Lonchura striata: one gene and its partners. The protein of the gene in region 3 binds, or shares a complex with, the protein of the main gene of each other region. Links are inferred from orthologs where the notes say so. Each region holds a gene or a part of one and is shown on either strand. Other genes may lie near its edges.

What was found.
Region 1: BAG3 (region 3) and HSPB8 share a complex: the UniProt entries of both Homo sapiens proteins name them as parts of the chaperone-assisted selective autophagy (CASA) complex. The link is inferred for Lonchura striata from reciprocal best matches to the Homo sapiens genes BAG3 and HSPB8.
Region 2: BAG3 (region 3) and STUB1 share a complex: the UniProt entries of both Homo sapiens proteins name them as parts of the chaperone-assisted selective autophagy (CASA) complex. The link is inferred for Lonchura striata from reciprocal best matches to the Homo sapiens genes BAG3 and STUB1.

Annotation. Positions count from the first base shown.
Region 1 is NC_134620.1:5,261,022-5,271,268, forward strand, and holds HSPB8 (heat shock protein beta-8), read right to left. Parts: upstream 3,982-10,247; 5' UTR 3,850-3,981; exon of another isoform or gene 3,755-3,849; 5' UTR 3,484-3,754; coding exon 3,105-3,483; intron 2,085-3,104; coding exon 2,021-2,084; intron 1,166-2,020; coding exon 1,006-1,165; 3' UTR 416-1,005; downstream 1-415. UniProt on the Homo sapiens protein: Involved in the chaperone-assisted selective autophagy (CASA), a crucial process for protein quality control, particularly in mechanical strained cells and tissues such as muscle. Displays temperature-dependent chaperone activity.
Region 2 is NC_134618.1:3,127,627-3,136,783, reverse strand, and holds STUB1 (E3 ubiquitin-protein ligase CHIP), read left to right. Parts: upstream 1-4,981; 5' UTR 4,982-5,047; coding exon 5,048-5,233; intron 5,234-6,132; coding exon 6,133-6,331; intron 6,332-6,432; coding exon 6,433-6,598; intron 6,599-6,734; coding exon 6,735-6,825; intron 6,826-7,332; coding exon 7,333-7,389; intron 7,390-7,505; coding exon 7,506-7,622; intron 7,623-7,974; coding exon 7,975-8,100; 3' UTR 8,101-8,462; downstream 8,463-9,157. Other genes in the region: RHBDL1 (rhomboid-related protein 1), read left to right, coding at 334-492, 706-930, 1,497-1,645, 1,726-1,838, 2,081-2,181, 2,878-2,938, 3,013-3,284; JMJD8 (jmjC domain-containing protein 8), read right to left, coding at 8,463-9,157. UniProt on the Homo sapiens protein: E3 ubiquitin-protein ligase which targets misfolded chaperone substrates towards proteasomal degradation.
Region 3 is NC_134609.1:27,402,188-27,411,912, forward strand, and holds the start of BAG3 (BAG family molecular chaperone regulator 3), read left to right. Parts: upstream 1-5,636; 5' UTR 5,637-5,671; coding exon 5,672-5,842; intron 5,843-9,725. UniProt on the Homo sapiens protein: Co-chaperone and adapter protein that connects different classes of molecular chaperones including heat shock proteins 70 (HSP70s), e.g. HSPA1A/HSP70 or HSPA8/HSC70, and small heat shock proteins (sHSPs), e.g. HSPB8.

The DNA of each region.
Region 1 (10,247 bases), on a different chromosome or scaffold from region 3:
TGCCCAGAACCCAGCAGACACCACTCGCCATTCCTCTGGGAAGTGCTTCCCTGTGGAGCTGCAGCTGGGGAGCTGGCGTGGTGAGATGGACCTGGGGATGGGGTAAGCCCAACTTTCCCAACTCACAGCCTGTTCAGCATCCCCAAGCAGGAGGAACATTTCCAACCCTCTGAGGGGCTAAGGCCAGGATGAGCCCATGGTCCTTGCCAGGCCTGATGCCTCCCCAGCACAGTGTTAGCTGGGACTTGGAATTCCCCCATCAGTGCAGGCATCCCATGCATCTCCCTTATCCTTGCCTTCACAGGGATGACCTGTGCCAAGCCGGGAGGTGGCACATGGTGGCATTCCCCTCGACCCCACCACCCTCCCATAGCCCTGTGCCCACCCCACCGGCTCAGCCGAGACGAGCAGAGGCTAAGAACATCAACTGGGTTTTATTCCTCAGGTCTGACAAGTAAAAGCACAAATTCTCTTTGGAAATAAGGAAAAAAAAAAAAAAAACCACCAACACCAAAACCCCAAACCAACGTTCAAAGCACGCAGACCGTTTCTCAGGATGGAGGCCACGCCATCAAGCTCCGCCGCCGGACGCGTGTCCTTTGCAGAGATGTAGTTTAAAAAAAAAACAACAAAACTCGTGGAGGAGGAAAGACGCAGAGCTACGGGTTTCCATGTCAATTTTAAAGAAAAAAAACAGGCCCTTTTTTTTGCTATTGTTATAAATATCCCATCCGAGCGACTCGGAACAAACAATAACCATAAGGAGGAGCATCCTTTCTGCTTGGCCCCGTGGGCACAAAATCTCTACCGGCACCTCAGGCCACTAGAAGCCCTCGGGGACGGTGGCTGGCACCCGGTGTGAGCCCGGCTCTCAGCTGGGGTGGCGGGTGCTGCCATCCCTGCGAGCGGCACCCGTCACCCTTGCCCGAGGCTGTCAGGACGCCGCGCCGCAGGGGACCGGGAGCGGGGAAGGGGACAAGGGACGGGGGTGCCGGGGGTGGCAGCTCAGGTGCAGGTGGCCTCCTGGCTCTCGACGGGGATCTCGCTGCCGCTGCTGCCCTCGCCGTACTGCTGGTAGGGAGGGATCTGGGGCGCCTCGATGATCAGCAGCCCCTCCGGGGACAAGGAGGCGAACACCGTGATGGGATCCACCTCGTAGGGCAGCCTGCAGGGGGGCAGGAAAGAGGCGATGGGTTAGGATGCTGCACCCCCGGTTCATCCCGACCCCCGGACCCCCAGCGGGCGGGGACCCAGGCAAAGCCTCTGTTATTACTGGAGCGCCTGGGAATGTGCGGGGATATTTAGAGTGGGCTGCTGGCCGGCCTGGCCGCCGCGGGAGCTCTGTTTAATCTCGCCGGCAGATGTGTTTGACGGGATGTCAGCGCCGCTTGTGCCCGCGGAGCGGGAGTAAATCCCGGCCGCGCACAGCCCGCGTCAGCCGCCAGCCTTGCCCGTAAAAGGAGCCCGAGCGGGAGCGAGCGGTGCTCGCCCCAGCCTTCCCGTGGGAGTTCGGGATGCACAGGGCTCCTTCAGGGTGGAAAAGCAAAGCTGAGCTGCTGCCAGCTGAGGAAACCCTTCCCATGCCCTGGGCTTTGATGCTTTTCCCTGTTAACCGTGCGAGCCCCGCGGGTGGGATCTGCCCCCCACATCGGTCGGGGCTCGCCTTTGCGGTTGTTGTTGCCAAAGGGAGCCGCGGGTGAGTCAAGGCGATAGCGATCTCGCTGACATCACGGGGATGCGGGGAGCGCAGGGATGCGCTCCGGGGCTGGCGGTGCAGCCCGCCCGCCGCTCCCGGGGACGCCTCCTCCCCGCGCCCCCGGCCGCAGCCCCGGCCGTGCGGGAGACTGACAGAGCGCCTCAGAAAAGGCCTCCTCCTCCTTTCCTTCCCTTGGGAAATCGCCCTATAGCTCGGCCCGGCCGGGCACGTGCAGCAGAAGGGCAGATTTTGGGGTGGAAAATCTATGCGTGTGAGCTGGGGTGCGGGGACTGGCAGAGCTCGGCCAGGCCGACCGGTACCTACTGGATTTTCTTGGTGAAGTTCTTGGAGACGATCCCTCCTTCCACCTGCTGCTCCTCGTGCTTGCCTGCAGGGAAGGCCAACACCCCACATCAGGACCTTACCAGATTATTTTCTCCCCCAACAAACAATAACAACTAAACCAAAGAGAAAAGATCTCCAAGCAGCTGTTTCTCTGTCCTGGTGCAAATTATTTCTCTGGGGAGGGCTCAGGAAGCCTCTCCATGTGAAGAGATGCTAGACACAGCACAGCCACAATTCCAGTGGAAAACCAGGATCTCACAGGCTGCCAAGAGCTGGGGCTTAAGAAAATAAGCAAATAATGAAACTATTGTAGGTGGCAGCATCCCCCTTGACCTCACTCCCCAGGATGGGTTCCTTTCTCCCCCTCTGTCAGGCTGGGGGTCCCTGTACCTGGAGCATCAGCCAGAGGCTGCCTGGACCCCCCCCAGCCTGTAGCTTTCCCCCTGTGCTGCAGTGAGCTCCAAATAAATACTCAGGGCTGCGTTAGGTGGCAGCCCCCAGCCCCCCCGGTGATCCCAGCCCAGAGGACCAAGGCACAATGGGGAGTGCCAGGCTGATGGGACACTGAGGGCAGTCGTGAGCACCCCAAAAATGCTGGACCCCACACCCACTGCTCCCGACATTAATTCACTTTTCAGGGATGTGTTTCTGGCTGACTCAGAGCCGAGCTGGGCTGGGGGCAGTGAGCAGCTGCTCCTTTCTTCCCAGCTTCTCCCTCGGCCCCTTTAAAGGGAATCTCCCTCCGTGCCGACCTCACCCTGGCTATAATTAACCGAGCAGAGCTGGGGCCCCTCTTGGCAGCTCGCTGCAGGGTGCTGCCAGCCAGGGCAGAAAGCAGGGAGATTTACCCCAAAGGACACACGTCCTTCTCATTTTGGCAGCAAACCACCATGGCTTGTGAGCCAGATTCCCCCCCGTGACACCCAAACTGCCCCGGAGATGCCCCAAAGCCCTGCTGCAGAAGCGGGGGGTTCCGCCGCCGCCTTAAAACAAAGGCGATTTTGGCATTTTGCAGCAATTCCTTGAGCTGGCAGTGCCACCTCCGCGGTGCCTCGGCTCTCACCTGACACCTCGACGTAGCCATCCTTGGTTTTGACCGTCAGCTCCTCGGGTTTGAAGCTGTGCACGTTGACACACACCTTCCAGGGCTCGCGGGGGAAGGGCGCGGGGCTGCGGCTCTCGGGGTACCCCCCGAAGTGGGCGCCGTAGGCGGGGGCCATGGGCGGCGAGCGGCCGAGCCCGGCGCGCAGGGGGCCCGGCCAGGTGGTGGTGAGCCGGGGCCGAGCCCAGTCGGGCCAGTCCGCCGTCAGATCCCCGGGGAAGGGCGACAAGCCGAAGTCATCGTCCAGCAGACGCGAGGTCAGGCCGGGCTCCCGGAAAGGGTCGCGGAGGCTGCGCCTGCCGGGATAATGGCAGGAGAAGGGCATCTGGCTATCGGCCATGGCTTCCTTCGGAGGGGTCTGAGCGTGTCCCCGGGGCTCTCCAACGGAGCCTCAGCCTCTGTGCGGCTGCTCCTGGCTGCAAACTTCCCCCGGGAGCCTGTCCCGGAGGAGACGCATCCACCCCGGGACGGTCCCTCCTGCCCGGCACCAGGTGAAGGACGATGAGAAAATCAATTCAGGCTGAATCACCGGGAGCTGGAGCAGCGCAGGAAGGACGGAGGGAGCTCTCTGGCCGCTAGAAAACGCTTCCTGTCTGGCTGCGATCCCAGGACTGGGGAGAGGAAAATAAAACTTCTTGTCAGGAGAGAGAGAGAAAAAAAAAATAATAAACCCAAATATCCTGAGATTAAAAAGCTTCTCTCTCACTTCTCACTCTCCAGCACTTTATGTGCAACTTTCCCTGCTGCTCCTGGGTGAGAACTGCAATAAATGCCTGAGCCTGGAGCCCAGAAACTTCTCTAACCTTCCAGCCGTTGGGCGAGTACTATTTATATGGATTTCGGAGGAGGGGGGTGTGTGTTTTGCAAGTCCTGCCCTGTCAGCCGAGTATTTTGGAGAGGATGAAACAGCCGTGGAGAATTTGGGCAGTGGCAGCTGACCTCTCCTGCTGGCCCGAGGATCCCGGCTGCCACGGGGCCGTGGCGCTTCGGCAGCTGCCCCGGCCCCTGCCGCCCCCTCCTGCTGCTCTGCCCGCCCAAAATAGCCCCCAAGCTCACTCGGGGCCGGCTGCTTTCAGCGCGGTGTCACCTGTTAAAAATACCGTGGTGGGGTGAGCAGGCTGCTCCCCTCACTGTAAAGGCACGTGTCCCCACGCCACCGAGCACCGCCGTGCCGGGAAATGGGTCACTGGGGGCACCCCCAGCGCCCTGGGACCCGGGGGGGCTGTGTGGGGCTGGGGACAAATGAGCCCCTCCAGCACTGCGTCTTTGGACACCTCCACCAGCTGGGCCCGGAGGAACATCCCCTAAACTGCAGGGAGGAGAGGGACCCCCGGCAGCAGGCAGCACAGGGGCTCAGGGCGCTGCTCAGCCCCTGCCTCCTCCTCCTCCTCCTCCTGGCCCCACCGCACGGCCCGGCCCTGCCGCAATCGCGGTGCGGGCAGGGCGAGGCGTTAATCACAGCCGCGGCCGGGCCGGTAATTACAGGGCAGCGGCGGAGCGGGCTGCGAGCTGTGGGAAGGGGCGCGGCAGCAGCACCGCAGGGGCAGCTCCCAGCGAGCATCGCCCGGGACACACGGCCCCGAGCCCGGCCACAGGCGGGGGCACGGCTGGCGGGGATGGGGGTCCCCATGGAGGCGATCCACGCACGGCTCCGGTGGGCAGCGGGCTGTGCTGGACGATGGGATGTCATCAGTGAGGGTGACGTTGGCCACGGAGCCACTTCCTCATGCCGCATCCTGGCTCTGCATCATGCTCCTTCTCTCCAGCATCTGCAATTTTTCTAATGGACTCTGTGGAAGTAATTGCAGCAGGAAGGGTTTAATGCAGCACAGGGATGCAGCCGCTGGTCACTCCACGGCGTTAATCGCGGCAGCATCGCTGGGCACGGGGAGCTGCCTCCCCTTGGCTAGGGCAGGGCTGCCCCTCATGCACGGAGACACCTGGGCATCACAGGGGTCTCCTGGGGTCTGAAGGGATGCCTGGAGGTGCCCGAGAAGTGCCCGAGGAAGTTCCAGGTGCCAGCTAAGTACTCCTGGTGTGGGGAGGCAGCTGCTGGCAGAGGGACTGAGCATCCCCCTCCGTTCCCTTGTCCTACCCGGCTGCCTCTGCCTGGCTGGGGGCTCCTGGTGCCCGTGGGTGACAGTACAGCGACAGTCCTGGGGGTCACTGCCACACACAGCCTGAGCTCAGCTGGACAAGTCTCAGCTTGGCTGAGGAGCAGGTGGTCCTGCCCCACCACCCAGCTCTGCCACCCCCTTGGGCAAACAGCAGCGCACGGGGTGAGAGGGACAAGCCCCGAGGAGGTTTCAGGCAGTGCCACGATCCTGCCGTGTTTCCAGGAGCCTCATAACATCCCCCATCCCACGTTTCCCACATAGCTCCAGGCCATCCTCCCTCCCCGGCCAGGAATTCTTTCTGTCGCCTTGTTCATCCCCATTAGTCACACGTCCCCTCCTCCCGCCTGCTCTCACCCTCTCTGGGCCATCCCAATTTAGCTCCTGTTGTCATTCCAATCCTCCCGGCTGCCTCCCACCACCGAGCCACCCCACGACATCAGCTCTGGGAAACATGAAGTGCCCTTGCAGCCCCCCTTCTCCTCCGAGTGACCTGGGGATGCTGCCCCGTGTCCCCACGATCCACCTGTGCCATGCCCAGACCTTTCCTGGGTGCCCATCTGAGCCCCCCAGGGGACCATGGGGACATGGCCCAGGGCTGCTGCTCTTCTGCGGGGCTTCCAGGGTGCTGGAGAGTCCCCACTGCCCTGGTGAGGTGAGAAGGTGACAATGGCAGGGCCCTGTGGCATGGGAACTCTGTGCAGGGCTTGGAGCAGCACAGGAAGGGAAGGGCACAGCCCCGAGGAGAGCACTGGTGAGCCCGTGTGACCTCCAGGGAGGGATGGACGCATTTCTGGCTTGGACTCCCAGTGCCTGAACAGGGTGGGGGAATCCAAAGGGCCTGGCAAAGGGCAGCAGGAGCCTGGCCCAGCAGGGAAAGGAGAGCTGCCAGAAATACTAGCCCACAACTTTTTTTGCTTCAGCCAGTGCCCTGAGGAGCCAGTCCTCAGCAGCTGGGAGTGGAGGCACATGCCCTTCTCTGCAGAGCAGCTGAAACAACCCAAAATATCCCACCGCACACGCTTGTATCCAAAAGGAACATGATGCAAAGGAAATACTGTCCGAACCTTTATTGGAACCTTTTTCTAACCAGGCTAACAACTCAAACACCCAGGAAGACTAAAGGATACAGAACACATGTGGATGGAGAGCAAGGGGAGCTTTACAATGAACTCAAACAAACAGATGTGCCGGTGTCGTTGGGGGTGGAATCAACCAACAGGCAGAGAACAGAGACACCGTTTCCCTCACGGCTTTTCTCATGTCTTGGCTTTTGTTCTACGTCTCCTGCTCACTCCCTGGGTTTCAAAGGTGGAGAGCTGCCCTGGGCTGCTGAGGGTGTTATTCTCTAGGCAATAGCCCAAAAGCTGGGGTGCTTCACCATGACACTGTTGCTTTGGAGACCCTCCCAGTCATGTGCAAACTGCCAGGTAGCAGCGAAGTCATGAGAATTATTTATTCTGTGGTGAAGAGGTAATAAAACCCCACTGCACACTGAAGGGCACCTGAACCTGCCCCTTTCTCAAACCAATACCCCAAGAGCCCGAGGCTGAGCACCCAGCAGCTCTGGGCCAGCTCTGTGGGAACAGCCCAGCGCTGGCACTCGCCTGCTGATGCTGGAGCTGTGTCCACAGTCCCCCAGCACAGGCAGCTCTGCCCCGGGAGCACAAACACCTCCCCCGAGGTGGGCAGAGCAGTGGCTGTGGCCGTGGTGGAGCGACGCTGGGGCAGGGTGGGATTTTTAGCACATCTCATGCTCTTCTCAAGGCTGGGGGAGGATGCCTGCAGAAAGCTCTGTTTGTGTTAGCTAATGAGCTCACATCAGAGAAAAGCTACTGGCACAAAGCCTGGGGAGGGGGCAAAGCAGGGCATGGCACAAGGGTCTCAGGATGGGGCAGGGTGGACATCCTTGCTTCCTGGTGGAGACCACGGCCAGTCACTTCGACCCTATTCCCTTCCTCATCACTGATGCAAAGGGTGACAAGTGTCCCCTACCCAGAGGGAAGAGGGGACCAGCAGTAGGAGATCAGAGAACTCCAGGAATTTTTGGTGATGGCAGCCCTATGCCACGTGGCAGAGGAAGAGGAGCAGGGTTATTCCTCCACCAGAACTGGCCCATCACCTCTGAATTCCCCACTCCTTTCCAGGGGGATGTGATCTGTCAACAGAAGCTGGTTCAAGGAGATGGAGAGTTTTCCCCTGCCTTGCCCATCTCCATCACAATGAGGTTCCTCTCTAAATATTGGTGGTGAGGTCCAAATGAGCCAAATTTGCCTTCCTCTGTCCAACATATCTGGCAACACTTCAAAGGCTCCTGCCTTCATGGACCCAACAGCATGACCCAAATAGCTTTTTTTAAAGTAATGGTCAATAAATAGAAGAAATAAATATTAAATAGAGGCCAAGTCCTCTCAGCCTGTTCGATATATGTACAATGCATAGCAAAATAACAGTGACTAGCTGTTGCAGACAAGTTTGGTGCAAATTCAGTCCCCAAAACAACAAAAACATTGAGAAAATTGCAGTTAACATAAAGCAAAGCTCAGCTGAGTGCTGCAACCAATGAAGAACAGAACAGAACAGTGCTTTGAAACATCCCTTATCTTTACTTCCCAGCAAACCTGCAGAAGTGGTGTTGGATTTTCTGGAGCATGGGGTTGGGAGAGGTGGGACAAGCCTCCCTTGGGGGGACAAACCCAGAGCCAAGGCAGGTCCAGTGAATGGGGAGAGCTGATGGCTCCAGGCTCAAGGAGACATTTGGAGTGAGCGCTGTGACGTGCTCTGCTGGGAAAGGCAGCAGGGGTGCTTTGTGGGATGATTCAAAATCATGGGTGGGAAAGAGCCTTTGAGTGCGAGACAGGGCTTTCAAAAAACAGCCAAGATATTACCCTGATGATGTGACCACAGCAGCGATTCAACACCAAAATGACCAAGCTGCCTTTCCTCCAGGTGAACCTGCTCTTTGCAGAGAGCACCTGCAGCAATCTGAGGTGTTGGATGCAGAGCAAAAATCCGTAAAAACAGTGAATGAGAGGGAAAAAAATAAATTAAAAAGCACTGGCAAAAGGCACAGAGACAGAAAAACTCACAGCTTCACACAAACCCACAGAAACCTCATCTGTCCACTAACAGGAAGGGTGTACTAAAGCTTGTACTAAAAATATTAAATAAGTTAAAAAATAAATAACACCGAGGGAAACTCACATGTATATGCACATGTGCACATACACACATACACACACAGCCTTGATCAGATCCGTCACCAGAGGCTGGATTTTGCAAGGATTCCGCAGGGATCTCTTTCTCACAGTCTCTTTTGTTTTCCCACGGGTGGGTCAGCGCGCAGGGATAAACACGGCAGGGGAGTCCTGGCGACGGCATCCTCGCAGGGAAGCGGCGCGGAGCAGCGCCGGCCGAGCCAAGGCAAACAGCGCGGGGCCAGCTGGCGCCCGGCCGGCGGGCGCAGGCGACACTTCGCTGGTGGCACTGCCAGCACCCAGCTCGGCCGGCCAGCTGCCCCTCGCCGGCAACCCCCGACACGTCCTAGACCCGTTTCTGTGGTCACGCCCATCACATTCCTGCACAAATCTAATGAGAAAGGCGAGATTCCAGCACGGAAAGGCGCAGCTCTGCCCTGCGTCCCTTCGGCCGTCCCGGGCTCTCCGCCCTGCGCCGGAGAGCGCAGAGGGACACGGTGGCAGCAGGAGCGACTGTCACTCCTCCGGCCACCTCACTGAGAGGGGCCAGAGCTGTAAACCTTTACACGAGACCGGCGGCATGGATACATTTGAACAAACAAACAGATCCAAAAATAACTTAACGTTAGAAAAAAAAAAATTAGAATAAATAAATACTGGTCCATTCTGACATACAATTAAAAATATAATAATAATAATATTAAATAAATAAATAAATAAATATTTTAGAGAGGTTTACTCCAATGCAAGTCTGCTTGGGAAACCCCAGGAGCATTTAGCTGCCACGGACTGAACAGGCAGAGGCAGTCCTTGATGTAGGGATCAGCTGGACGAGTGCAGGAGCTGCTGTCAGCCCCACACAACCCCTGGGGTCACAGGGGGTGGATGCTGCCAACCCTGGTGTGGTGCTTCCAATCATCTGTTCCCAGCCACGAGGACTCCAGTCAGTGTGAGTTTGGTATTTACACCAGTTGCACAAAGCCCCTCTTCTTTCCTTTCCTAGTTTTGGATCTTCAGGCTCTCTGCTTCCTTGCTGCAGCTCCATATGTGCGTTATGGGGTGCCAAGGGGCAGGAGGCTGCTCCTGAAACGCTGCTGGGGGCTGGGGAGCTCTGGGTTCCCCTCACTTCCTTTGGATCTTCCCAGGGAGCAGAAGGAGGGGGCATTTTAGCATCAAATTGGGAGAGACTCTTTGGGGAAGAAGCATGAGGTTTTCAGCCCTTTTGAGAGGGAGTTCACTGCAGAAGGTGGCCAAGGGGCTGCTGCTGGGGCTAGCACAGGAAGGAAGGCAGTGGCATCCTGTCTTTGATCCCTCAACCACAGCCCTGGAGCATTTGCTCAGCCCTACCAGGAGTGCTTCTCTCTGTATCCTAGAAAGGGTCTTTCCAGAAGATGGACCCATCCCCACTAAGCCAGCAGCCATACCAGTACCCAACTCTCTGCCTCAGCCCCCTCATCCTCACATTGCCTGCAGCAAGCAAGGCAGGGGATGAAGGTCTGGGGAAAAAGGGAGCTTTGGCCATTGAAGGCACAGGACAAGGGGGTCCAGCACCAGCAAAGATCCTGGGAAAGAGGTCCCTGACATAAAACTTCCTCCTGTACCACCCAGATGGAATCCCTGCCTGTGCTGCTGTACTTTCCAACAGATTTATAGGCTTGCTGAGGTGATCATCCAGTTCCACCACAGCAGCTCATGGCACTCAGCCTTCCTCCCTTTGCTGCTTTGTCCCTTTTCCAGCTGCCAGGGGCCATAGGTAATTCTATAGATGGGGTGTGGGTAGTAGGTTACATTCC
Region 2 (9,157 bases), on a different chromosome or scaffold from region 3:
GGAGGAGGAGGAGGAGGAGGAGGAGGAGGAGGAGGAGGAGGTTGGTGCCAGGGCTGCGCGTGTGTTTAGCTTGGTGGCTTCCTGGCTGGCAGGCTGCTGGCGGCGAGGAATAACTGAGTGGGAGAGTGTTGGCTGCGCCGCGGGGAGCCGGGGACAGCGGCACGGCACGGGGCACGGCCCAGGGCGGCTGCAGGCTGCCGTGCCCCTCGCACAGGCAGGGACGGGTGTCGCGGAGCCAGGCGTGAGGCGCCAGGGGCAGCGGGAGGTGTCCCCAGCCGAGCGGGGAGCCGCAGCCGCGGCGCCGCCGTGACGCTCCGCGCCGTGCCCCCGCAGCTCGACCCCGAAAACACCGGCTTCATCGGCGTGGAGACGTTCGCCAGCCTGGTGCACAGCCATGAGCTGCCCCTGGACCCCGCCAAGCTCGACATGCTGGTGGCCCTGGCACAGGGCAACGACGAGGGGCAGGTCTGCTACCAGGAGCTGGTAGACCTGGTCAGTGCCGGGCGGCCGCGGGGGCGGCGCGGGTGCCAGCCCGGGGCGGGCGCCGGGCACCTCCCCGCGCCCCTGGGGAGGGGGGCGGACACCGGCGGTCCCCAGGGTCTCCCCTGGCGCGGGGTGGCTCGTCCGGGCTGTGGCTGGAGGGGGCGGCGGGCCGGGGGCGGCCCCAGGCCGGTCCCGAGCTGCCCCCGCGGTCTCTCCCCGCAGATGAGCAGCAAGCGCTCCAGCAGCTTCAAGCGCGCCATCGCCAACGGGCAGCGGGCGCTGCCCCGCGACGTCCTGCTGGACGAGACCGGCCTCGGCATCTACAAACGCTTCGTCCGCTACGTGGCCTACGAGATCCTGCCCTGCGAGATGGACCGGCGCTGGTACTTCTACCAGCACCGCACCTGCCCGCCCCCCGTCTTCATGGCAGCCGTCACCCTCACCCAGGTACGGCACGGCGGGAGGGTCCCGGGGACCTCGGCAGGGATCAGACCGGGGCGGGCAGCACGGTTGTGAGCTGCTGTGCACGCAGAGCTGACCTGAAGGGATGTGTGACCCTGCAGGTGACAGCTTTGTGCCCACACCTGGGGCGGTGGGGCTGGGGGGCCCCAGTCGTGATGTTCTGGTGCCCACAGAGGGGCTCAGATAGGGGGTGAAGGTTTGGGTGACCCTCGCTGTGATGTCCTGGTGCGTTTGGTGGTGCTGAGACCCGGGACAGAGGTGGATGGGTGACCCCAGTGGTGATGTTCTTGTGCTCATGGGTGGGACCCATGGAGGGGCTCAGATCCAGGGTAGGAGGAACGGGTGACCCCAGCTGTGATGTCCTGGTGCCCTTGGGGGGCTCACATCTGGGGCGAAGGGAGTGAGGACCCTGTCTGTGACCTCCTTGTGCCCACGCGTGGGACTCAGAGCTGGGGCAGGGGGGATGGGTGACCCCAGCTGTGACATCCTGGTGCCCTTGTGGGGCTCAGATGTGGGGTGAAGGGGGGTGACAGCCACGGGGTTTGTCACAGATCATCGTGTTCCTGTGCTACGGGGCCCGGCTGAACAAGTGGGTGCTGCAGACCTACCACCCCGAGTACATGAAGAGCCCCCTGGTCTATCACCCCGGGCACCGGGCGCGCGCCTGGCGCTTCCTCACCTACATGTTCATGCACGTGGGGTAGGTCCCGCTGGGGGGGGACGCTGGGGACATCCCGGGGGCTCTGCAGGCTGAGCCTGTCCCCTCCTGTGCCCGGGCAGGCTGGAGCAGCTGGGGTTCAACGCCCTCCTGCAGCTGATGATCGGGGTGCCCCTGGAGATGGTGCACGGCATCCTGCGCATCAGCTTCCTCTACCTGGCCGGGGTCCTGGCAGGTGGGTGCTCCCCGGGGGGACTGTCCCCATCCCCCCCGTCCCTGTCACCAGCCCGGGGGGGCACGGGGAGGTCACACCGAGTTTGGTGGGGATGCTGGGCTCTGCTGGCTGCCACCCTGCAGTGCCAGCATCACTCGGCCAGGGGCTGGGGGGCAATGCAGGCTGTAATTAATTAATGTAGACAGTAATTAATGAATGCTGTGGGGGCGAGACCCCGTGCTGAGCCCTGTCTGTGCCCCCAGGCTCCCTCACGGTCTCCATCACGGACATGAGGGCCCCCCTGGTCGGGGGCTCGGGGGGGGTCTACGCCCTCTGCTCTGCTCACCTCGCCAACGTCGTCATGGTCAGCCAGGGGACAAGGGGACACAGAAGGGGGGACAGGGGTGGATGACTCTGTAGGGTGGGCAGCACGGTGGGGGATGCCATGGGGTGACAATGGGGACGGGAGCTGTCTGCAGGTTGGGCATGGTGGTGGGACATTATGGAGGGATGCCATGGGGTGGCTGGCACTGTGGGTGGGCAGCATTGGTGGGGGATGCTGTGGGGTGGCATTAGGGGTGGCACTGTCACAGAGGGACCACCTTGGGAGACATGGGGTGGGTGTGGGTGGGAAGGAGCAGGGACCTGAGGGGGCTCCATGGGGCATTCCAGGGGCTCTGGCAGCAGTCCCCACCTCTGTGCTGGAGCATTGCTTGTGCCAGCCCATCATCCGTCCATCCATCCATCCATCCATCCATCATCCATCCATCCATCCATCCATCATCCATCATCCATCCATCCATCATCCATCCATCCATCCCTTGTCCATCCATCCATCCATCCATCATCCATCATCCATCCATCCATCCATCCATCATCCATCCATCCATCCATCCATCTATCATCCATCCATCCATCCCTTGTCCATCCATCCATCCATCATCCATCATCCATCCATCCATCCCTTGTCCATCCATCCATCCATCCATCCATCCATCCATCCATCCATCCTTCATCCATCCATCCCTCCCTCCCTCCCTCCTCGCTGCCGTTCCCGCAGAACTGGGCCGGGATGCGCTGTCCCTACAAGCTGCTGCGGATGGTGCTGGCGCTGGTGTGCAGTGAGTACCGCCCCCGTCCCTGGCCCCGGCCGCGCGGCCCCGGGCGGGCTCAGCAGCTCCGGCCCGTCCCGCAGTGAGCTCCGAGGTCGGCCGCGCCGTCTGGCTCCGCTTCTCGCCGCCGCTGCCGGCCTCGGGGCCGCAGCCCAGCTTCATGGCGCACCTGGCGGGGGCCATCGTGGGCATCAGCATGGGGCTGACCATCCTGCGCAGCTACGAGGAGAGCCTGCAGGACCAGTGCGGCTGGTGGGTGCTGCTGCTGTCCTACGGCACCTTCCTGCTCTTCGCCGTCTTCTGGAACATCTTCGCCTACGACCTGCTGGGGGCACAGATCCCCCCCCCGCCCTAGCCCGCCCCCTCGCCCCGACCCTGCGGTTCGTTTGTTTGCCGAGCCCGGCGGAGGGGCTGGGGGGTCCCCGCGCGTGACATGGGGACAGGCCACCCCGCCGCCCGTCCCCTCGGTGCTAGCGAGCGCGCCGCCCGCCCCGGTGTCCCCGCCGCCCCCGCTGTGCCCGGCCCCAGGGGAAGCTCCGGCCCCGCCCCGGCGCCGCCGCCCCTCGGGAAGGAGCCGGGCCCGGGGACCCCCGCCGGCTCCCGGACCCCCTTTCCAGGACCTGCACTTGCACACGAAGGACTGGTGCCAAAAGAGGAGCCATTTATTTTTCTATGCCAAAATAAATATAAATAAAAGAAAGAGGAATAATAATAATAATAATAATAAAAAAGAATAAAAAGAAGGATACGGGGAGAGCCCGGCAGGAATCGGCTGAGACCGGCACAATCATTTTGGCAGTGCCCTCGGAGGCACAGCCCCCCTCCCCGCGCCCCGGGCCCGCTTTGCTGACCCCCGGCACGGGGGCCTGGCTCGGGATGGGGGCGCGGGGGGTCCCCGCTCTAACCCCCCCCAGACCTTTTTGAAGTATAAATAAATATTTTGCACACTGCGGGGGCTCGTGTCTCTGTCGGGGGCGGGGGTTTGGGGGTGCCCCCATCCCCGATGGGCGGCGGGGCGGGGGCTCAGCCGGGCTCGGGAATTACTGGAGCAGAAAACTCCGGGATCAGTGGAGCGGCGCCGGGCCGGGCCCCGCGGGGCTGGGGCGCGGGGGTGAGGGGGGGTCTGCAGACCACCCCGCTCCCTGCACCCCCCGCTGCAGCGCACACAGCGCTGGCTGCAGGCGCCGGACCCGCCCCACTCACACCCCCAAACCCCCAACCCCCTACTCACACCCACCCCCCATCAGCTCCGTGCCGCCTCCCCCATCCCCCTTTTCATTCACCCCCATCCCCTCCAGCCAGGCCCCTCATCCATCCTGCACTACTCTGTACGCCCCCCTCCCATCAAACCCCATAAACCCATAAACACCATCAACCCCATCAAACCCCATCAAACCCCACAGACCCCACAAACCCCATAAACCCCACAATCCCTATCAAACCCCACAAACCCCATAAACCCATAAACACCATCAACCCCATCAAACCCCATAAACCCCACAAACCCTATCAAACCCCATCAAACCCCATAAACCCCACAAACCGCATAAACCCCATCAAACCCCATCAAACCCCGTAAACCCCACAAACCCCATCAAATCCCATCAAACCCCATCAAACCCCATAAACCCCACAAACCCCATCAAATCCCATCAAACCCCATCAAACCCCATAAACCCCACAAACCCCATCAAACCCCTCAAACCCCACAAACCCCATTAAAGTCCATAAACCCACAAACCACACCCCAATGCCCTCCATCCACCATCCCCTATTCAATCCCATAATCCACACCCAGGCCACGCCCACCCGGCACTGACCACGCCCCCGCCAATCTGTCTTTAGCCCCGCCCACCGCGGGCGCCCCGCCCAATCCGCCGGGCTGGCCACGCCCCTCATATGCATATCCCCGCCCCTTGCCGTTAGCCCCGCCCACCGGGCACCGTCCCGTCCTGCCGAGGCCCCGCCCCGCCCCGCCCCGGAAGCGGCGCTGTCGCAGTGCGCGGCGGAGCCGGAGCCGCCGGGGCTGCCGGGGCTGCCGAGGCCGCCGAGCCAGCGGAGCCGCCGGGGCCGCCGAGCCAGCGGAGCCGCGGCCCCAGCGCCGGCCCGGGCCGCGCCATGAAGGGCAAGGAGGAGCGCGAGGGCGGCGCGGCGGGGCCCGGCGCGGCGGGGCCGGGCGCGGGGGGCGCGGGTGGCGGCAGCCCCGAGAAGAGCCACAGCGCGCAGGAGCACAAGGAGCAGGGGAACCGGCTCTTCGGCGGCCGCAAGTACCCCGAGGCCGCCGCCTGCTACGGCCGCGCCATCGTGAGTCCCGGCGGCGCCCCCGGCCCCAGCGGGACCGGCCCCGCCACGGGAGCTCCGGGGAGGGGACGCCCCGGCCTGGGTACCCCGGGACGGGACACACCAACCTCCCCCCTGGCCTCGATGGCCCCGGGCTGGAACCTCCCCCCTGGCCTGGACACCCGCCCGGAGCTGGCCTGGCCAGCGCTGGGTGGGGTCCCCAGGGATGGGACAGCCCCCACACACCGGGCCGTGACTCCCGCAAGATGGGACATCCATCCTGCCTCCCCCCTGCCTGGACATCTCCCGGGCCCTGGCCTGGGCATCACCAGGATGGAACCTCCTCGGGCTGGGCGCTGTTCTTCCTCAGGGCCTGGCCAAGACACCCCTGACATGGGACCTTTTAATCTGGACACTGTTCCCTCCCTGAGCCTGGCTCCTCCTGGGGAGGGCTGGACACAGCTCTGGGCCTGCTTCCCCCCATTCCTGGGCCTGGACTACCACCCCTAGGCCTGGCCTAGGCACCCCCCGACCCTGGCCCGCTCTCTGGACTTGGACACCCCCAGCCCATCCTCTCCCCACCCCACTCCAAGCTGGCCTGCCCTGCACCCCCTGAGCCTGTTTCCCCAAGCCCCGCACTGTCCCTGGGCTGTGCTGGGTAGGGCAGACCCAGCCTGGGACAGTCGAGGTGTCTGGGGGACAGTCCCCTGTGGGGGCTGGGCCATGGGCTGCCCTATGGGGACCGGCCCCAGCCCGTCCCCAATCCATGCCAGCACCTCCCCACGGGGTGCACACCCTGGCTGGCACTGCTGGCTCTCCCTGCCCAGGGTGACGGCGCCGTGCCGCTGGCTCACCGAGTCACCGGGCTGTCACCAGCACGTCCCGGCCCTGCCGCCGGCACCGACATGGGCCTGTCCCTGCAGAACCGGAACCCCTTGGTGGCCGTGTACTACACCAACCGGGCCCTGTGCTACCTGAAGATGCAGCAGCACGACAAGGCGCTGGCCGACTGCAAGCGGGCGCTGGAGCTGGACGGGCAGTCCGTGAAGGCTCACTTCTTCCTGGGCCAGTGCCAGATGGAGATGGAAAACTACGACGAGGCCATCGCCAACCTGCAGAGAGGTGAGCGGGCACGCTGCCACTGTCCCCTGCTCCTGTCGGCTGGGAAAGGGCCAGGGAGGGCGACAGGGACGCTGGCGCTGGGGTGCCCTTTCTCTCCTCAGCCTACAACCTCGCCAAGGAGCAGCGGCTGAATTTCGGGGATGACATCCCCAGTGCGCTGCGCATCGCCAAGAAGAAGCGCTGGAACAGCATTGAGGAGAAGCGCATCAACCAGGAGAACGAGCTGCACTCCCACCTCACCAAGCTGATCGTGGCCGAGAAGGAGAGGTAACGGGGCACCTGGAGAAGCTTTTTGAGTGCCACCAGGCTGTCACTGCTCTGTGTGAGGTGTCTCTGCAGAGCCCTGCAGCAGGGAAGGGAGTGCCAGTGTTCCCCATCCTCCTGATGTCCCACTCTGTCCTAGGGAGCTGGCGGAGTGCCGAAAGACTCAGCAGGAGGAAAACACAGACGAGAGCCGGAGCCGTGTTCAGCTGGCCAGCATCGAGGCCAAACACGTGAGTGGGGGGCTGGGGGCTTCCCCGTCCCCATCCTCGTCCCCATCCTTGTCCTCAGGCTCTGCTGCACCCAGGGAAGCGGCAGGGCTGCAGCTGTGCAGGTGAAAGCTGGGAGACCTTGGGACCGTAGCCTTCATTCTGTAGCTCGAGCCACCACTGCAGGCCTGTTGTGTCCCCCCATGATGGCTTCCCCTGCTCTGCCACCTCTTGTCCCAGCCTGGCAGCGGTGACACCTGCTGTGCCTGTTGTTCCCTGAGGAAACACAAGTGGCTCTCAGCCACATGTGGGTCTGGGTGCTGGGGACTAATCCCAGATAAAAATAGGCCCACAAAGGAAGGTTATTTGTAAGCTGGATTGCTCCTGCCAGCTTCAGCCAGGAGCTGCACAGGCAGAGGGGGCACCAAGGACCGGCCACAGCACCCATGATGGGAGGCTTTGGGGCTCTCCCTGGGGTCCTGTAGCCCCTGCACACCAGGGACCCCTTGTCCTCAAGAGCTTCTCTTTCAGGACAAATACCTGGCAGACATGGACGAGCTCTTCTCCCAAGTGGACGAGAAGAGGAAGGTGAGTGTGGCCCAGCCTGTGCTCCTGTAAACCTTCTGTGTACCCTGCTCCCCGCTCTGAGCCAGCACCACCTCCCAGCCCCCTTTCCTGACCCAGCTGTGCCTCTCTCGAGACAGAAGCGGGACATCCCTGACTACCTGTGTGGGAAGATCAGTTTTGAGCTGATGAGAGAGCCCTGCATCACGCCCAGCGGGATCACCTACGACAGGAAGGACATTGAGGAGCATCTCCAGGTACTGCAGGGGGCTTTCCCAGGACCTTGCCTGGGTGGGAAGGCATATTTTTGCTGAACTCGGGGCTCCACAGGCTCCTTGGGTTTGGTCCCAGTTACCTGCCCGGGCAGCTCCCTGTGGAGCAGGTGCTGCCAGGCCCTGCCCAAAGCGGAGGCGGCTCTTGGCGGGGGTCTCACACCTTGACCTGCCCTCATCCTGCTGGGAGGCACCTCTGAGGGGCTCTCCCTCTTCCTGCGGGCAGGTGCCCGGGTGCCAGGGCAGATGCCACGCGGCGCTGGCCTCACGCCGCCTGCGCCTCGGGGCTGAGCGCGGGCACGTGGAGTAACCGGTTTCCCCGCGCTCCTCCCCGCAGCGCGTGGGGCATTTCGACCCGGTGACGCGGAGTCCCCTGACCCAGGACCAGCTGATCCCCAACCTCGCCATGAAGGAGGTGATAGACGCGTTTATCTCGGAGAACGGCTGGGTGGAGGATTACTGAGGGGCCGGGGCGGCACCCTGGCACGGCTGGCTCTCCGGGCTGGCACCCTGCCTTACTCGCTCTCCGGCTGTTCCCCCTCTGCCCCGGCTGCCCCGGCCCGGCGCTGGGCGAGGGCACGTCACCACGTCCCCTTCCCGAGGAGCCGCGGCGGCTGGGCGGGCACCACGGCTCCCTGGCTGCCCTCTCCGGCTCCAGGACCTGCCCGGGGGTTGGAATGCTGGCTCCTCGGCAGTGGCCTCGCCATCGTGTCTGTCACCCCCCCAGCCAGGGCAGCAACAGTCCCCAAAGAGCACGTCCCGCTCCAGGGATTGCCACAGGGGGCTTGCCGGGAGGAGCACCTGGAGCCCCATCCTTCCCTGTGTTTAGAGTTGTTTCCTCCTCCTCCTTCCACCTCCTGCCTGGCCAGGGTTGGGTCCTCTTCCCAGTAAACAGCCACTTACTGGGATGCTGATGCACCCTCTGGCTTTTCCTGGTAAACAACTGCCCCAGGGCTGGAAGGGGGCTGCTTCCCCCCTCCCCTTCCCCACTGGGACTGTGGTTCCCCAAGAAAAACCACCTGGGTTAAAGTTCTTCTTCCTTTTAATGAAATCCCTTAAAAACCCCACAAAAAATAACCACCAGATTTGCATCCAATTGAGATTCCAGCATTGTGGTCTGCTGACGGCCTGCCTGGCTTTTGAGCACCCTCTGGAAGTTTGCCAATGTCCATTAAAAGAATATATATATATATATAAAAAGAATAAAGAAAAAAAATCAGCAATAAACGTGGAAAAGGACCTGGAGTGGTTCACGGCAGCCATTTCTGGGGATATCCAGGCTGGGAATCGGTGCCATTCCATGGAGACCAGGTTTGCTCCAGGGACGTAGCAACACAGAGCGTGCTTCAGTAGAACAGCTTTAATCCAAGGGTAAAGACCAGTAAACACCAGAACTTTCCCAGGCAGTTGGTCCCAACAGCAGTGGCCTTTCCCTGAGGGTGGCAGGAGCTGGAGCTCCTGGCCTAGCTGGGATGGTGGCGCCACGTCCTTGTCCCTGCCAGCCCTAGCCCAGGAAGGTG
Region 3 (9,725 bases):
AGCAAGGAGGGCAGAAAATAAATTGTGATCAGGAGCTGCAGATTGCAGTTTTCAGTTCTAATTTAAGAAGGAAGTTAGTGGCATTCCAGTTTGACCTGCAGGTTTTCCCTCTGTAGTCCTGCTGCAGGAACCCCTGAGCCATCCAATCCATCATAAACCATGTGTGAACACCAGACAGAGACACTGCTAGAGATGGGATTTTTAACTCCGTTAGCAAGGAAATTAGAGGAAAATTATTATAACAAGTAGTCTTTTATAAATGCATCCTCTGGCTGTTGTTTTGTTTTTATCAGGAGTATGCAGAGTAGGATTTTCCACTTGGATTTCTTTACTGCTGAAGACTGTATTAAAATTCACCATGGCATAACTCACTTTTGCAGGAGGATACCTGCAAGCATGGTTTTGTTTATAACTCCATCTCCTGAAGGTTATTGTGCCAGTGAAGATTTGTCCTGACTTCGTGGCTGCTTCAAATTTCAGCAGAGGCACAGGGATATTCCCCATTAAAGGAATGTGTGGGTTCTGTGCCACCACAGGGTTTAAGTTTTCAGATTTTAGTTTTAGTTTTTGGTTTTTCTGACTGGTTTGCAGCATTGAGTGGATGAGTAAATGCCTCCATGGATAAGACAGCTGATGCTCTGAGGAGTAACACTGTCCAGAAACCCTCCTCACCTCTGCCCATCCTGCTGATCCAGCTGTCCTGTGTGATGGATTCCCTAGGTAGGCAAACAGTAATTATGGCACTGCAGCTGTGGGATATCTTTGGAGGGGGCCTGGGGTGAGAGCTCAGCAGCAAACAGCTCCAGGAGAAAGGAGGGGAGGCATTAAAGCTCCTTCCAAGCCTTGTCACTGCTCTTATCAGCGAGCCAGCCTTGAGCAGCCAACCACACTCTGAAGAAGTGGAGGGGTTGCATTCCTGGCACGGACCCGAAGAGCTCTTTGTATGGCTAGGAAATGCAGGCACTTCCAGAGCTGAATTCCCAGGCAGATGCTGCTCCAAGGAGAGCCAGAAGGAGCAGAGAATAAAGGACATGCATTTGTTTCTTTCTTTTCAGTCTGTTGCCTCCTTTGAGACTCCACTGTGCCAGGGAGAGAGCCAGAGATGCTATCAGCTCTGCATCTGCTTCTTCAATTCAAGGGAATAAAAATATTTGGAAGGGATGGTTAGGGACAGAGCACCAATATAATTAAATCAGCTGCAGTACCCACAGAAACTGGAGAAATACTTCTGCCTTTACATGTGCAACATTCTGCTCATAAAAGGATCGATTTGCTCATCAAAGAGGGTTTTTAAACTCCCTTTTCAGTTGTTTTTTCCAAACTCTGTACTGTTTCTGCTATTGGGCACCCTCAGGTCTGGAAATGATACTGTTTTGGACCAAGATTTGCCAGTAAACTTTGGAAAAATGACTCAGATGTTCCCAAGCACATTTGGACCGTGGCAGCCCGGAGTACAGCAGGGCAGATTATCCACTAGGTGGGAGCCTCTCAATTCTAATGGGTGCTGGCCACCGTGGCAATTAAAGCACCGGCTCAGACCGACTCTCCTTCATCCTCCTGATGTCCAAGGAAGACAAAGTTCTGTTCCCTGGTTAGACCCAGACACTCCTAAACCAAAGAGCTGCCTCCTTAGGCTTCTATCTGACAGACACTGGAAGAACAGAGAATGAGCAGCCCAATAATGCCTATTTTGGAAACATTAATTCACTTGGCATGTGCCATATCATGACATATTAAGAGAATGAGTAGCTCTAAACATTCAAGTTGTCTTATGCTGCCTATGCTTGGAATTGAATTTTGCTTTTGTTGCATACAGGTCACAGAAATTAAAGCTGGTTTTGCAGTGTTCACAGCCAGATTTGCTCCCTGGTTTATGACAAATTCATTCCAGGTGGAAATAAAGAGGGAAAAGAAAGTAAAAATTGTGCTGGGATTAGCTCCTGCAGTATTTTTCAAAAAATCTGAAAATTTGAAATCAGAGTACGTGCTTTGGGAATGCAGAGCTTTAGTGTAGTTGCAGTGTGATTCCAACACGTACATTTAAAAAGCTTTTCTCCATTTAAACAGTACAATTAGCACTCTAATTTCTTATTTATACTTTGAATTTTCTATTAAAGTTCATAGGAAATATATTTATCTATCAAATGACTTGCCAGTTACTGTGACTCCAACAAGCAGATGGCATGATCAAGCTCTAAGAGCCAAGCAATGTCAGCACCATGCAGCAGTCAGAGTGAGATCAGACCATTTGTGGATGGCTTCATTCACCTACTTCTGTTCTCCACTTCACCACCAGTTACACTAAATTGTGTACCAAATACTAGAGATCAAATCTGAAGTGGTCTGTAGCAGAAGTGGCAGATTAGTAAAAGATTAGCAATCACTTTGCATCTTTAATTTTCTCAAAGGCAGGCCCCAATTGTTTCAGTGGCCCAACAAACAGTTCCATGATTGCGAACAAACCATGAAGCCAAACATCTGTACAGCTCTGGTTACATCAAGTCATAAGTGGGACCTGTTTGCTTGTAGCTTAAAAAGTTCATGCACCTGGAGCTATTCATACACCTGGATATTCAAAATATAATCAGTGAAGACCTGGGCTACTCAGTGATACTCTGCATAAAACATCAAGAGATGGAAATCATGCAGGTCAAATTCATCATGTCTCTTGAATCTGAGGATTGAGAAAGTCTGTGCTTGTTGCATTTATTAGGAGTGTTTATATGACTCAAATGCACCCAGCAGAGGACTTGGACTGGAGCCTGCTTCACAGCACAGCGCTCGACACGTGCCAGGCACGTCACTCACCCAGGTTCATCAATGCCAGCTCTCTGCAATGCTCACCCAGAACAAACACCTGAACTCCCAGTGCTGCTTAACAGAGCCTTTCCTGCTCAGGTGACCTGTGAAAGTGCTGCAGGTACTCAGGAGGTAGAAAGCTGATCTGGATCTCACTGCAAGAAGTGTTGTTTCCTGACACACCAGAGAGATCTGCTTGATTAATGCAGTGAATAACAATTCTATTGCAACAGTGCTGCCCTGTACAACCTGAGCTAGAGCTGCTGTGCAGCTGGGAGGGAGCTCTGCAGCCCGTGTTCAAGTCAGAGAAACGTGGGTGACCCTGTAGAGTAAACCCACTCTGGGTAACTACAAGTACATGGTTTCTAGTTGTAGTGGAAGGCCCTGGAGCAAATGTTTAGTTTGGTACTCCTGGGTGTGTGAAGCGCTGTGCAGATAGGAACCTGGATAAGTCAGGAGTGCTGTGTTTGCACTTACATGAAGAACACAAAAAGTAGAAAATGCCTCTTGAGCATTTTCCCTTCTGAAATAGAGCACAAAGACCTTGAGCCTGGAGTCTCATCTGAGATTAGCCAGACACTACAGAGACTCACTTATCTTAATAACAGATTTTCCTGAAGCCAAGATTTTTGCTTGGCAGTATTTCCTACATGGACATTTTCATAAATCATTCTGATCTGAAGGATGGCTAATGACAACATGAACTAGAAGCCACATTGCCTCAGGGTCACAGCTATGGCCCAGTGACACCCCATCACCAGAGAGCAAACAGTGAGTCCCTGTGTAGATATCCTGTGTAACCTGCCTCACTGGCAGTGCTTTCACCTGCACAGGAAACCAGGCTAAATCCTACCTGTCAGGAAAGACAATTTCATTAACAGAAAAAGTGTGATGTCTTGCCAACTAAATTCAATCACTAAAAGGCTTTTCCCTGTCAGCCCAGACTGTTCTGTTTCCAGCTGGATGCTTGTCGACCCTGCAGCAGCTCGAATGAATTTTGAATCACTAGCCCATGATAATTTCTGTGAAATTATCATGGGCTAGTTTCTTTGTTTCTTCGTAGGGTATGCCCCCACAAAAATGTCCAACTTAAGTTAGATATCCCTTTGAAATTTCCTTTAATTAATTTTTCATCTACTTGCTGACCGTATTCATTAGCTCTGCTGAGTATATGGTTGGCTGCCAGCTGCAGCAAAATAAAAGACCCCCCCCATTCTTCGTGCCTTTGTTTACATTCCCTCAGCTACAAACCCCATCTGTATCACTTCCTCAACTTACAAAAGTAATTTTCCTGCAGGACCTTTTTAACATCTGTGTCCCCTGTGTCTGAATCAGCTGCTTTTGTTGATTTGGAAGAGACTCTGGCATATGCTACAGGGAACATATGGTCTAAGTGTGCCTTTTTGTTGCAAAACCGGGAGTGAAATTCCTCTGCACATTGGAAGCAGAATAAATCGCTGATATTACTCCATTTGAGGCTACTGCTGACATTGCTGAGGCTGAGCAGAGGTTTTATACCAGACAGCATAAGAGGCAGCAGAGGTAGAAAACATGGCCAGGGACAGGCACCAGTTCAGGACTTTGAGATCAGCAAAGTTTGGGCTTTGTTGCTTAGAAAATAGGTAAGTCAGGAAAGGTGATGGCAATACAGACATCTGCAAGTAAATGCTCCGGGAAAAAAATTATCCATTTATAATACTTAGGAGTCAAAGGCACACAACAGTGGGGACAGAAAAATGGGTCTGTGATGGAGCAGTGCGGTCCTGACAGCAAGGGACACGCAGGATGGAAGAGCTGCAGGAGTGAAGGAGCAAGTGTCAGCAACTACTTGGTTTGTCAGTGTGATAAACAAAACCTCCTGTCAAAAAATGAATGACCATCAGTGGCAAGCAGTATCAGGAGATCTTTGATCCTGCCTTGAGCAGAAGGAGATCCTGGCTGTGCTCAGGGGCGTGAAGAGCCAGGGGTCTTCTTGAAGTAAGAGATACTTCAGTAATAAGCATCTGCCTCCAAGGGATCCATACTTAGAATTCCTCGAAGCAAAGTTTTGCAGAAGGTAACTTCTGCGTTTGAGGGACACTGTGCATTCACTCTTCTACTTAGAGTGACTATCAACAGGCATCTGCGGCTGCTCCTGTGACTGTCAGATGACTGAAGTGGTGCAGTTGAGAAGCACAGTTACCTCCAACCAAACCCACTGAGTGCATGACCTGCTGATAGAGCACCCATCAGAGAGCCAGTTTTAAACCTCACAGACACACTCTTTGCCTTCAGGTGTATTTCTACGGGAAACTGAGAACTGAGACACGCATTTGCAAAGTGCTGAGAAAGTTCAAGCCAGTTGAATCCGAAGAACAACGCTTGCCCACACCCTCACTTAAGAAGCATTATTTTTGTTGTTTATCTGCCATAACCCCGAATTATCAGTCACGGGGCAGGGCGTTTTGGGGAGGAGCGTTGATCTTTCGCTCAGAGCACGGGGCAGTAGGTCGGAGCTGCCTTGCCAGAGCGCCGGCGGGCTGCGGGCTGCCCAAGGACGGCTCGGGGCGCGGCAGGGACCGGCCGGAGCGGGAGCGCAGCCGGGCTGGGCGCTCACCGCGCGGCGCCGGCGGCGAGCAGAGCCGGCCACGCCGCCCCGGGGCGTTCCCAGCCAGCCCTCCCCGCTGCCCCGGGGGGCTGCCGAGCCGCGCTGGACACAGCCAGAAGTTTCCAGCCGGCGGCTCCTCCGCCGTCCCCCGCCCTCCTCCTCCTCCTCCGCGTCCCGCCCCTCGTCCCGCCCCCGCCGCCGTTTCCAGACAGTTCCAGCCCCGCGCCCCCGCCCCCCGGCCCGCGGCGGATAAAGCGGCCGGCGCGGCCCGCGCTCTGCCCCGCCATGAGCGCCGCCGCGCAGAGCCCGCCGCCGCCGCAGATGGAGGGCAGCGCCGAGCCGCTGCCCCCCGGCTGGGAGATCAAGATCGACCCGCAGACCGGCTGGCCCTTCTTCGTGGATCACAACAGCCGCACCACGACCTGGAGCGACCCGCGCCTGCGGGCGGCGCCGCAGGTGGGGCGGGCGGGGGTGGCCGGGCCGGGGTCCCGCGGGGCGAGGGGGGTCGGGGCCGTGCGGGGAGGGCGGGAGCTGCCTTTTGGCTCTGACGCACTGCAGTCCCTTTTTTGTGCATTCAATCATTCGATACCTCGGCCCTGTAATGTTTATTTAAAGTTGGTTAAGTCCGCCCGGCCTCCCGGGGAGAGGCGAAGCTGATTTATTTTTCAGCTGTGAACTGCCCGAACGCTGGATGCCTTTAAAAAAAATGAGAGATCCGGCTCGGGCTCCAACTTATTTTTTCTTTTCCCGTTTTCTTTTCCCTGGTCCCAAACTGCCGGCAGCTGCCGCTCCGGTTTTGTTCCGAAGCACGCTCGGGGAAAAGCCGCATCTCAGTCCAAATATGTCCATGGAAGGAGAGGCGCGGAGGGGAGAGCGGCCGGGGCCCTGCGGAGTGACCCTTTCGGGTCAGGTTCCGCGGCTTTTGGGGAATACAGCCCGTTCCTTGGCGGAATACAGCCCTCGGCCCAACAGCGCGGCGGCTGGGGGCAGAAAGCGCTGGAAACTTGAGCCTGGTGGGATTTGCCTGGTGGGAAAGCGATTCCCCGGGGTCTCGGCGCTCTTCTCCGCGCGGAGCATCGCGTAACCGCGGGCTGACCGCTCCGCCGCGCTGCCGGCCGGGGGCTCGGGCACGTCCCGGGCGCGGAGCTCCGCGGGGCTGCACCGGAGCCCCGGGGGGAGCCCCGGGGTCGGGCTCTGTGTCCCCGCAGCAGCGGGGAAGGGGCCGCTGGATGCGGCATGCGGCTGCTCCGGATCTCTGTTGAGTTTTTCTCCCCTACAACGAGAGGAGCGACGCGCTCAAGGAGTGTTAATTATTTTATGAACTTGCCGTTTCTTAAAATAGTAATTGCCCGGTTCGCGAGCGCGGGCCGTGACTGAAAGCTCGGTGCGAGAGCAGCTGGCCTCGGCAAGGAAGGGATGTGTTTCTCTATCACAAATTAACCCCCTTTGCAGCTCTCTAAGTGCTAGTTCGTTTGGTCTATAAATAAATTATAGTAATAATACACAAAGGTCTTAGAAAAATGGAATTTGAAAGTAAGAATATTGAGAGTAGCATAGGAAAAAGTGCTTTCTCTCCTTTATGGAGGCACCTGCTAACACTCGCTGTTGTGGTAGTAAAAATAAAGATGGTGTGGTTTTTATAGCCATAGAACGTACTTGAAAAGAAAAGTGTGCTGTTTCCTGAAAGGGTTTTGTTCCAGGAATACCACTTGAGACTAACCTATTTAACAGAATAGTCAAATTCAAGCTGCTTTCAATAATGGTGTGAAGAGAGTTGGAAGCTGTCTGGTGGATCAGCCCTCTGCTTGAGTGGGTGCCTGAAACAAAACAAATTTTCACCCCTATCTCGTGTGAAATCTGTGGTGATGAGAAGTGCCTCTTCTATGGCAAGGGCTGTCACAGGTAGAAAAAGCTGTATTTGCTTTTGAACAGCTTTTGTGGGACACACTCTTTTCCAAACAGGAAAATCTGTTACTCCTGGCTGCAAGCTGGAACGTGTGCTTTGGGTTTGTTCACTGTGAGACAGGGAAATGCCTCCAGAGATGAGCTGTTGTTTTTTGGGAGTTCCTAGCTAAAAAAAGTCTTCCAGTTTATGGTGGTAGAAGTTGTGTGTAACTGCTCTCACATGGGCATTTATCAGAGCCTCGAGTTAAATGTGTCTGCTGGAATTCATGGACAGCTGCTGAAATCATCAGTTTGTTGAGTACCAGTGTATTCCACAAGGACAGGTACTAGTTAGCAAAAGAATCTTAGAATCAGGCCCAAGGGAAATACGTCCTTTTCTAAATATTCTCTTAGCTGGGCAATGGCAATGAAAGCAAATTACCCATTGACATTGACTTCCAAATCCAACAAGGATTTTTGAAGATGCCAGACTTCTGTTAATACCTAAACAGATAGGAAGGACATAACCACAGATGAAAGCAAAAACCAGATTTGATGGGTAGAGCTTTCTGATTTCCTTCATTATTCTCAGCCTAGCTCAAATGAGAACTTGGGGTTTCTAGAAGTGATCTGAGAATGACAAAAGCTGACTGCATGTGTCAGACTTCATGCACCTTTTCAAGAATGATTATACGAAGGTCAAACTTGTGCTGACTTCATCACTGCATTGCTTTCACTGAAATATGACAGTGAAACTAGAAAATTTTTGACCACCTTTGAGGTGGTCTTGCAGTAAATCCACCAATATTCTGTCTGTGAATTTTTGTTCCCTTTCAGAAAAGATTAGGCAATGAAATGTGGTATTGCACACTAAGTGGACAATGACTGGAGCACAGATCTAGGGCTAACTGAGCTTTTCTATCTAGGTAAGAATATGGCTGAGACAGTGTCATAACAAAGTCCTGTTGTTCCCGAGTGCTTGATCTTGGCCTTCTCACTTACCCTGGGCTTAACATCAGTGTAGCCATGCTGGCTGCAGTAATCTGTGCCAGATACATAATCGGGTAAAAGTTGAAGTGGCTCCTTTGAAATTGTAACCCATGTCAAAGCCTTTTTAAAGCAACGAAACCAGACCTTGATTTTGCATTTAACTCTGTATTTTAGGTGCATTTGTGAATTCAGATGGCTCTCGGTTATTTCCCACTCAGTCTGGCCTTTTTTTTTTTTTTGTTTTTTACTGACGTGAAGGATGGGTATTCTTCTGCATGTTTGTTTCTGTTACATATAAGAAATCATGGCAGCATAAGGATGGCTTGGGGAGCCCTTCATGAGAAAGAGGGAAAAATCTCATGTTGTTTCAGTGAGAAATAAGGGATGAATTTTCAAATGACAGAAAAATATTTATTCATGAAGCTTCTTGGTAGACTAATGATTTTCTTTTAAGGATCTGATCAGTTAACAGTAATTTAAGGAAAGGTATAATCAATACTGTGAAGATGTATATACATCTAGTAAAAAATGTGTTTATTAGCAGTGTCACTTGTCCTTTTATTTGATAGAATTGCTCATTTCCTATGCTTATTTGTTGTAGTTCTGTGCTGAGGGCATCACAGCTCTGCATACTTCCTGCAGGATTGCCTTATGACACTAAATTGTTAACTTGGTGTTCCCCAAAGTGTCAATAAAAATAGATTACATTTAAAGAAGAAAACAAGGTTTGTATAGGTATTTATCAATGCCCCTTCTATGTGTTGTTTCCACATGCAGTAAACCCCCTGGGAAATAATGCAGCTAAAAATAAACCAAAGGAATTGACTGTGCTGAGCTCCACTGGTGGATATTGGAGCGATCAATAGCTCACTGGTGCCTTGGGTTTGAGATAAAAGCTGCAGCAGCTGGGCACAAGTCGGGGAGCAGCCATAAAAGTGATCTATGATAAGTTTTGGCTGCAGCAATGACTGCACAGGCTAAACAAAGGAAGAAGAAGCCATCTCACCCTGCTGCTGATGCTTCACTGGGGAACAGCTGACTACACCTAAGTTTCCATCCTCTCCCTTCATGGCTGTTGCATCTCTTTTTCTCTCTGCTTCCCCAAATAAGTCTGAAGTCACTCAATTCACAGCTCTTTAGCAGAAGGCTTATTTTTGAGCACTGACTTCTGGTGGTCAAGTTGAGTGAAAAATCCGTGGTAGACCAAATTAGAAATTGCATTGAGGGGTCAGAACAGCCTCTCTGAAGCTGTACCTCTCACAGTGGTTCTCCTCAAGGGAAGGGAGTGTGAGGTCAGCTTAGTAACAGTTAAGGTCTCTTCCACCTGCAGTGTTTTTACATTCCTAATGCTGATGTGCATTCTGTCAGGCTAACAAGTTAGTTACTGGATTAAAAAGGTACTATATAGAAAAGGCTTAGTAGGTAGGAGTGGTACAATTACCAGTGGGGATATTTGGAGGGTTGT